2 linked regions of the Mus musculus genome follow. The protein of the gene in region 2 binds, or shares a complex with, the protein of the main gene of each other region. Links are inferred from orthologs where the notes say so. Each region holds a gene or a part of one and is shown on either strand. Other genes may lie near its edges. The genes, in order: Taf1d and Taf1c.

The links.
Region 1: Taf1c (region 2) and Taf1d share a complex: the UniProt entries of both Homo sapiens proteins name them as parts of the transcription factor SL1/TIF-IB complex. The link is inferred for Mus musculus from reciprocal best matches to the Homo sapiens genes TAF1C and TAF1D.

Annotation. Positions count from the first base shown.
Region 1 is NC_000075.6:15,308,985-15,312,688, reverse strand, and holds the end of Taf1d (TATA box-binding protein-associated factor RNA polymerase I subunit D), read right to left. Parts: intron 2,831-3,704; coding exon 2,655-2,830; intron 2,332-2,654; coding exon 2,280-2,331; intron 1,163-2,279; coding exon 994-1,162; coding exon of another isoform or gene 977-993; exon of another isoform or gene 781-976; coding exon 668-780; 3' UTR 585-667; downstream 1-584. UniProt on the Homo sapiens protein: Component of the transcription factor SL1/TIF-IB complex, which is involved in the assembly of the PIC (preinitiation complex) during RNA polymerase I-dependent transcription.
Region 2 is NC_000074.6:119,602,154-119,606,436, forward strand, and holds the start of Taf1c (TATA box-binding protein-associated factor RNA polymerase I subunit C), read right to left. Parts: upstream 3,054-4,283; 5' UTR 2,982-3,053; intron 2,226-2,981; 5' UTR 2,225-2,225; coding exon 2,087-2,224; intron 1,313-2,086; coding exon 1,228-1,312; intron 1,095-1,227; coding exon 997-1,094; intron 927-996; coding exon 837-926; intron 752-836; coding exon 678-751; exon of another isoform or gene 605-677; intron 494-604; exon of another isoform or gene 1-493. UniProt on the Homo sapiens protein: Component of the transcription factor SL1/TIF-IB complex, which is involved in the assembly of the PIC (pre-initiation complex) during RNA polymerase I-dependent transcription.

The sequences.
Region 1 (3,704 bases), on a different chromosome or scaffold from region 2:
AACACCTTTGTGCTTATATTCCTTCTTGTATATATCAAAACTCATACTGAGCAATGAGTTCTGGGTTGCAAGAGGATTTATATTTTTGCACCTGTTCAACTGGCCATTGTCCAACAGCTGACAAAAACACAAGTGCTATCAAAGCTGTCCATATCTGACACAGCCAGTTTTACAATTGTGACCACAATAGGACAGTAGGAACAGTGGTAATATTCAAACCCCCCTTGGGGAAGATAAGCACTTGTTTGACTTAAGACTTGCAGACAGAACCTGGGTGTGGGTTCGAAGAGAAAGCTCAGATAATAACTTTTTTTTTATTTCTCTGAATAGTTCTGGCTGTCCTTGAACTCAGAAATCCACCTGCCTCTGACACCCAAGTGCTGGGATCAAAGGCATGCGCCACCACTGCCCATCTATGAATAGGAAAGGAAATCATATTCATAACCAACAATGGCTGGCTAATTACCATCTTGTAACTTTAGATCTCCAGGCACAGATACCTTCTGATCTTGGGTACTGCACACATATGCATGTAGGCAAAACACACAAATATGAAATAATTTGGGCTAAGCACTTAAGAGGCTGGGTTTTATCATTAGTTTATTTTTTCTAGTATAAGAGTCCAGGAGTTTAATCCAATTTTCAAATCATCTCTTCCTCCTCATAGTCATAGTGGCTGCGACAGACCACAGAGGTGGTGAACCTCCAGATACTCTAACTCTCCTTTCTTCATGACCTTGCTCTGCAGATGAGCAAAAGGGCGAGGCTGGGGTCTTGAATCTAGACATGTATAGGATTGTTAGCATTTTCCTTCCAGAATCACAATCATGTTTACTATAGTAGTAAAATAATCCTTATAGTATTTCTTACTCTGAAATCAAGCAACGAAAAAAGCTTTACTAAGTATTTATTAGCGTTCCACCAGCAAGTTTATCTTCTTCCCCAGATTAGTTCTTGATCTACTTGGCATACACTGTTATCTATGTTCTTTACCTTCTTCAATAGTCACATGTTCATTTCCTTTCAAGGTTCTTCTGTGCCCTTTCTCTCTGTGTGTGGCATCTTTGGCTTTTTTAGAAAATGTAGATTCTTTCTTAATCTTCTCTTGTTCCAAGTTTCTCTTCCTTGAGAATTCTGAACTTATTATGAAGCAACTGTCTTCCTGCATTTAATAGAAAAAAAAAAAAACAAAAAAACTAGTAACTAAACTCACTGATGGGTGAGTGCAAATATATTCCTTACTATACCAGCACTATTTTCTCATTTGACAGCACACCAGATTAGCTAAAAGTTCTTTATTATTTTATCAGAAGCTAGATCAGTGGTTAAAAATACTGGCTTTTCAGGGCTAGAAAGATGCCTCAGCAGTTAAACACCAATGGCTGTTCTTTCAGGGGTACTGCATTAAATTTCAGCAACCATATGGTAAATGTGACCTGGTGCCCTCTTCCATTAATCAGGTATACATGCTGGTAAAGCACTCACACAGTTAAGTAGAAAACAGTATAGAATAAACAGCACAAAATAAGCCACAACATTGGCTTCTTCTCTTTTTTTTTTAAAGTTTTAACAATTAACATTTACATATTAAATTGAATGTTTTTTATTTGTTTTTTTTAAAGATTTATTTATTATTATATGTAAGTACACTGTAGCTGTCTTCAGACACACCAGAAGAGGGAGTCAGATCTTGTTACGGATGGTTGTGAGCCACCATGTGGTTGCTGGGATTTGAACTCTGGACCTACGGAAGAGCAGTCGGGTGCTCTTACCCACTGAGCCATCTCACCAGCCCACTGGCTTCTTCTCTTAATTAAGACTAAGATTCAATTCCTTGCACCTACCAGTTCCAGGCACCAGGCATACACCTGGTATACTTACATGCAAACAAAACATAATACTGAGTTTAAAAAAAAAAATCTTAAGACTGGAGCCAGGCAGAGATACACATTTTGTAAGCCAATAGCAGGAGCAAAGACCATGCTGGTAGGTTAATCCACTGGTTTGAGGTCTCAAGAGGCCAGTCTAACCTCTGGCCTCAATATCCTACAAATATTCAAAGCTAGCGTTATAACTCAGCAGTATGATACCTTGGCATAAATATAAATGTGGACAAGGCTTCAGACCCCAACACTTGGGACTAAGAGGAAGAGTCACAAAAAAAAAAAAAAATCCTTGGTTATCAAATAGCCTAAATAGTAGTTCCACTCTTAAACAAAAATTCAATAGTATACAACTTGTACATTCTGTAAATGAAACAATAAAAATCAGCCACTTACAACCAACTTGATATCACATTCAGCCTGAGGATTTGTTGCTTCATCTTCAGTTCTGTAACATTAAATGGAATGTGTCACAAATCTTACCTAGTATTCTGATACCATTGAAACCTATAGTCAAAGAAAAATAATCCTCCCAAAGCTGATGTCCTGTGCACATTACCTCAGATTAAACAATCTTAAATGGACTAGAAGTTACGATTACTACTGAAGAATTTTATAGGATCTTCATTTTATAGATGGCACACCCACCCCAGCACTTGAGAGGCAGGTAAATGAGTTCAACCCTAGCCAAAGCTGTACAGTAGTGAGACTGTCTTTAAATTAGCTTAAATATGACAAACCCCATAAATTGCCCTTCAAGATCCAACTTACAATGGCTCTTCAATAGGAGAAAGTGAACCATCATCATCCATGTATTTGTGCCTCCGACTGTCAAGGTCTTCCTTTTCTAAATCTTCCCCAGCATGCATTTGCTTCAAGCATTCCTTAAGGTGGTGTTCATACTTGAGTTTTTCAATGTGGTGAAAAAATCCTCTTGCAACAGCTTGCTGCAAGTTAGAACACACAATTCCTTAAATATTAAAACATCATATACTAATTATAATCAAGTTTGAAACTGTACCAAGAGGCTAAATAAACAATGGCTTGCCGTTCATCAAAAGGACCAGATGTGAGAGCACAGAAACCACGTAAATGTTATGTGCATGATGGTTCTACTGTAATTCCAGACTTGGGTAGTAAAGACAATAAGAACAAGGTGAATAGGAAGACAACCCAAACTGGCAAGCTCTGCCATGTCTGCACGTGCATACACAAATAAATACAAAGTAGACATTAATCACTGATTACATTTTCCGACCACTTGCAACCATTCAACAGTTAATACTCAAACATTTGAGAAACCTAAGTAGTATCTGGGTACTTGGGTTTTTCTCTCTAGCCCTTGACTAGTTAACTTTTAACTGTCAATTTGGCATAGCTCTGAATTACCCTAGAAGGGATCCTCAACAGAGGATCTTTGTATGATTGCCTAGATTGTGGGTGGGTGTTACCATTCTGAGCAAGAGGTCCTAGGCTAACAATGCCCAGGACCAGCAGCTTCCTTCATGGTCCTATTCTCCAGCCCTTCCTGGGACTTCTAAAAGTGGGCCTTAAATGGTACCATACCTTCTCTCTCGCCTGTACTCAAAGGATTGACTACTGCTGAAAGCAAGCTGGGTGTGGTGTGCTTCAGAATAGTCTAGAGATAATATAAGGGACCTCAAGGGACCCAGCTGGAGTACAACTCCATAAATCTGTGTGCACACTGATAAATATGCTTGTGCACATTTCTCTAGTGATGCAAGAGATGAAAATTGGAGCACTTTATATGGATGTCACTATTGTTAAAAGTAACAATCTGTTTCAGGTGTCCCTCAAACA
Region 2 (4,283 bases):
GTGCACACAACAGCGTTTATGCCACTAGAGCAGAGGCTGTGGATGACTCATATTTCCAATTGGGTGGGAGCACCCGCTTAGTCTTATAGTATCGAGCCAATCGGTGAATTCTGCTCTCTATCAGAATCAGGCGGAATTTAGCATCCTTATCCTTTCTGTTCCTCTCAAGGTGCTTTCGGACAGCAACAGCTTTCTTAATCAAATGGTAGAGATCCTCGGGGAGGTCAGGGGCAAGGCCTTTGGACTTGAGGATTCTCAAGATTTTATTTCCAGTCACAAAACGGACCTGGGCCACCCCGTGTGAGTCCCTCAGGATTACACCTATCTGGGAGGGAGTCAGGCCTTTCTTGGGCAATTTGTAAATCTTTTCCTTCACGTCGTCAGACGTCAACTTCAGCCACGTGGGGACGCTACGGCGGTAGGGCAGCGCCGACTGGGACAGGCCCTTCCCGGGAGCGTGCATGCGACCCATGATGGTGGAGGTCTGGCAGCCCACGCCTAAGGTTTACCAATGACCAATCTGCTTTTCCCTTACGCTGCCGGGGATTTTGTGAACTCATGGCTCAGGACTGTGTGGGGCTGGAAAAGCCACTATGACGAAAACCTGGTCAGTGTCCCAGGTCCTTCCACATCTCACGGCAGGCCAGTCCATGGCTGCTCTCTCATTGGCTACTTGCCCCCAGGGTTGGTGTCCGCCGAGGTCCTGAAGCAGCTTCTTCGCGCTGACTATAGTCATCTTTTTCGAGTAGCCCTGCAGGGAAGGGCTGTCAGGTTGGTACCCTTGGGTCTCACCAGGGAGGCGGCTGACCATCCACCCGGTGGTGGCGGCTCCTTACCCGGTTCCCCTCCAATCTGAAGTTCTCCAGCATGAGTCTCCCCAGGGGTGCGAAGGCTATGTCCCCATGGTCCCACAGGAAGCGGCTGAGCTGGAGGGAACAGCTGTGTGAGTCAGCATAGCACAGGCGCTGAGAACCAGTCTCACCCAGGGACACTTACCTGCTCAGTGACATCCAGCACAGCCTGAGACTGGTACTGGTAGCAGTGACCTCCCCGGAAAAGGAAGTCCTGAGCTGTCACACCAGGGTCCCAGGGATCTAAGGGGAGAAGGAGATCAGAGAAGAACCTGAGAAGGAATGGGGACAGGATACCCCTGGAGGTCTGAGGTTCCCCTTGTGCGTGTGATGGCTGAGGTCCTTGGAGGGGGCCCAAAAGGAGAGAGACTCTTACCAGGATCAGGAGGCATCAGGAGGGGGAGGGGTCCTGGCGTCGATGGCTCCCACAGTAGGTTCTTGGCAAAGGACAAGGTCGGATCCTAGGGAAACGGGGCAGCAATAACATGACAGGTGTGCAATCCCTGCCAATTAACTAACTCAGTCCTCGGGACAAATGTGAAAAGGTGGTCACTTCGCTAATGAGGAACCCTGAAGCATGAGGCTGCCGCCCTAGGTGACAGAAGCAACAAACAGGCATGGACTTGAACCCAGGCAACCGACTCCAGAGTCTGAACTGAATTCTAAACTTCATTCACAGCAGCTTTCAAAGGAAGCGCCTAAGTCATGACTGCCTACCCACAACCCAATGAGCTCCAACTTCCTCAGCTATCTCCTCTGAGTCCTGCCATTCAGTGGGCACCCTTGTCCCAAGGACCAAGAACTCCCCTCCCCCAACACCCTCTCTTTGACATGCTCTCCTCAATGTACTCAATACAAGGCTGCTAGAGATGGACCTCCCAAGAGCAGAAATCCTGCCCCTGGCATTCCACTAATTCAGGCAAGTCAAGGCCACACTATAAAAGGTCTGCCCGTTGGTGTACAGTCTCTCACCATAACTGGAAGTCCCTTAGGTGGGGTTGCCTGACTTCCTCATGCTGGGCTCCTGGGCCTGTAAGGACCCCAACACATAAACACCTGCTGAACCCAGGGAGAGGGAGCGAGGAAAGAGGAGCCACAGCCTCTGTTGAGAGACACTGTCTGGACAGCAGGGCAACCGGTGCGCAGCTCAAGTAGCAGCTGCCTAGACCTCTTTTCCCAATAAGTGAGCAAGGAGGAGGAACAGACCAAGGAAAGGACCCTATTTCCATCCTCACCTTGCAGTTCTGTGGCTGGGACCCTGGCAGGGTCAGTGCATCTCTCCAGCTGCACATGAAGGACAGGTCAGGGCCATCAGTCATGCCAAGTGGACCGGCCTTAAACAATGAAGGGCGCAGGGTGCCAGGGAAGTCCATCCTGGAGAGAATGTATCTAACGTTACACACGCCTTCATTAGGAGTCTCAACAGTGCACCAGGGTTCTCAGAACACAGTAGGGGAGACCACTACAAGGTAGCAGATAAAGACCAGACTATGCCTAATGCCAGCGCGTCAGCAGGGCTGCCCAAGGACTGCTCACTCTCTTGAGGGCAGCCAGACAGATATCTCTGCTCACACCTTGGAAGAGGGGCTGGGGAGAAAGTGATCGCAAAAGGCCTCGTGGCAGGTAAAGTGCCAAAGAGATAAGCAACCACAGAATATACAAAGGGGAGAGTGTGGAGGACCAAGTGATGCCGATGAAGGCTGAGCGTTCATCAACGCGCTGCGCATGACAGTAGCAGGCTGACTTTCTTCCACCCCTCTGTGGACATGGGCTGCGTACTATTCCTGCTTCCCCACTGCCAAACACAGGCTTCTCCGAAAATGCCCGTGGGCTGAATAAATGCAGGAACTCTTTAGAAGCAGTAACTGTCAAGTCAGCCCTCATTTTTAGTAAAAATTAAATCTAACATCCGCAATAAGAGCACCAGCAGAGCACTAGTACCCGCTGGACAAGACGTGAAGGCGCTGAATTTAGAGTCTGAACTGAAAACCGGTGTGTAGTAACCACAAGTGTTCCCGGACCGCCCTCCCTCGTGGCCAGCATCTAGGACGAGCCTCAGCGCTGTAATCGACCAGTCTCTATAGCCACGTGGTCTGCCACGTGCTCTCAGCATTCCCGCAACAGCCTCACCTGACCCCGGGGCCGCAAAGGAGCCAGAGTGCCGAACCTCAACGCCGCCACCCACAACTGTTGGAGCAGACTAAACTGTTTTCCGGATCAGGCCGGAAGTTCGCCCGAGAAACAGGAAGTCCCGCCCCCAGATCATCTAACCGAGTCCTCCAGCGCCACCTGCAGAGCTGAGGGCCAATATGCATGGTCGTGGCGCCTAAGCTATGAAATTTCCATCCTATTTCACAAAAGTGTTGAGAAGCTTGAATTGATCCTCTCAACGAACAAGTGAGCACCTCCGATGAGCCACGCACTGTATTTATTACCCACAAGTCCTAGAATCCGCTTCATAGACACCTCTGGGTGCATGTGTGGCTTTAACAGGGGCCAGGAGGGAATATTAGCTTGTCATTCTCAAGCTAATATTCCTTGTGTGTGCACCTGCGAGTTTTGGGGGATCTGTTCAAACTCGCTCGCATGCAGCGAGTCCTGGGCTCTGCCTGTAAGTTGCCTTGGTCCTGACACTATCGCGTAAAACTTAGGACGCGTGGCTCTGCTGACCACTTGCTTTCCATCGCCTGGAGGCTAAGAATATCTTCAGATAGAATCGAGACAAGGAACAGATTCTCCTGCGTCACTGCAACCTACCTACATGACATTCCCGCCAATGTGTTTGACGACTTCTTTGGGTTTGACTTTCCTTTGTCCTGTAATTATCAGAACTTCATAAATCGGTCTTCATGGTGGAGCAAGTTATTCAGGGAGAAAAATCTGTGTTCCTGAGTTTATTAAGGGATCTCTAAAGGAACAGAACTGATTGAATGAGTATGGAATAGAGGAGATTTTATTAGACCGGCTTACAGGCTGTGATCTGCGTAGTTCAATAATAGCTGTCTTATGACAGAAATGGCAAGGAGAATTTGGTACTGTTCCGTCCACGAGGCTGGTTGTCTCAGCAGTTCTGATCTGGTGCTGTAGTCCTGGGCCATTCCTAAAGAGCCGCCGAGCTTCAGTCTCTGTTGGAATCCTAAAGAAATTGATTTGAATACTGAAAGGAAAACTTCAGCAATGCCATAAAATAAATGGTTTTGCCGGTGAGGGTGAGGTCCAGCAGGCACAAATCATGGTTTCTTTTTCCATTTCTTTTATCTGGGCTGCCACCAGAAGGTGATTTAGGATGGCTCTTCCTCCTTCAAATAATCTGATTAAGAAAATCCCTCACAGGGCTGGAGAGATGGCTCAGCGGTTAAGAGCACTGACAGCTCTTCCCAAAGTCCTGAGTTCAAATTCCAGCAACCACATGGTGGCTCACAACCATCTGTA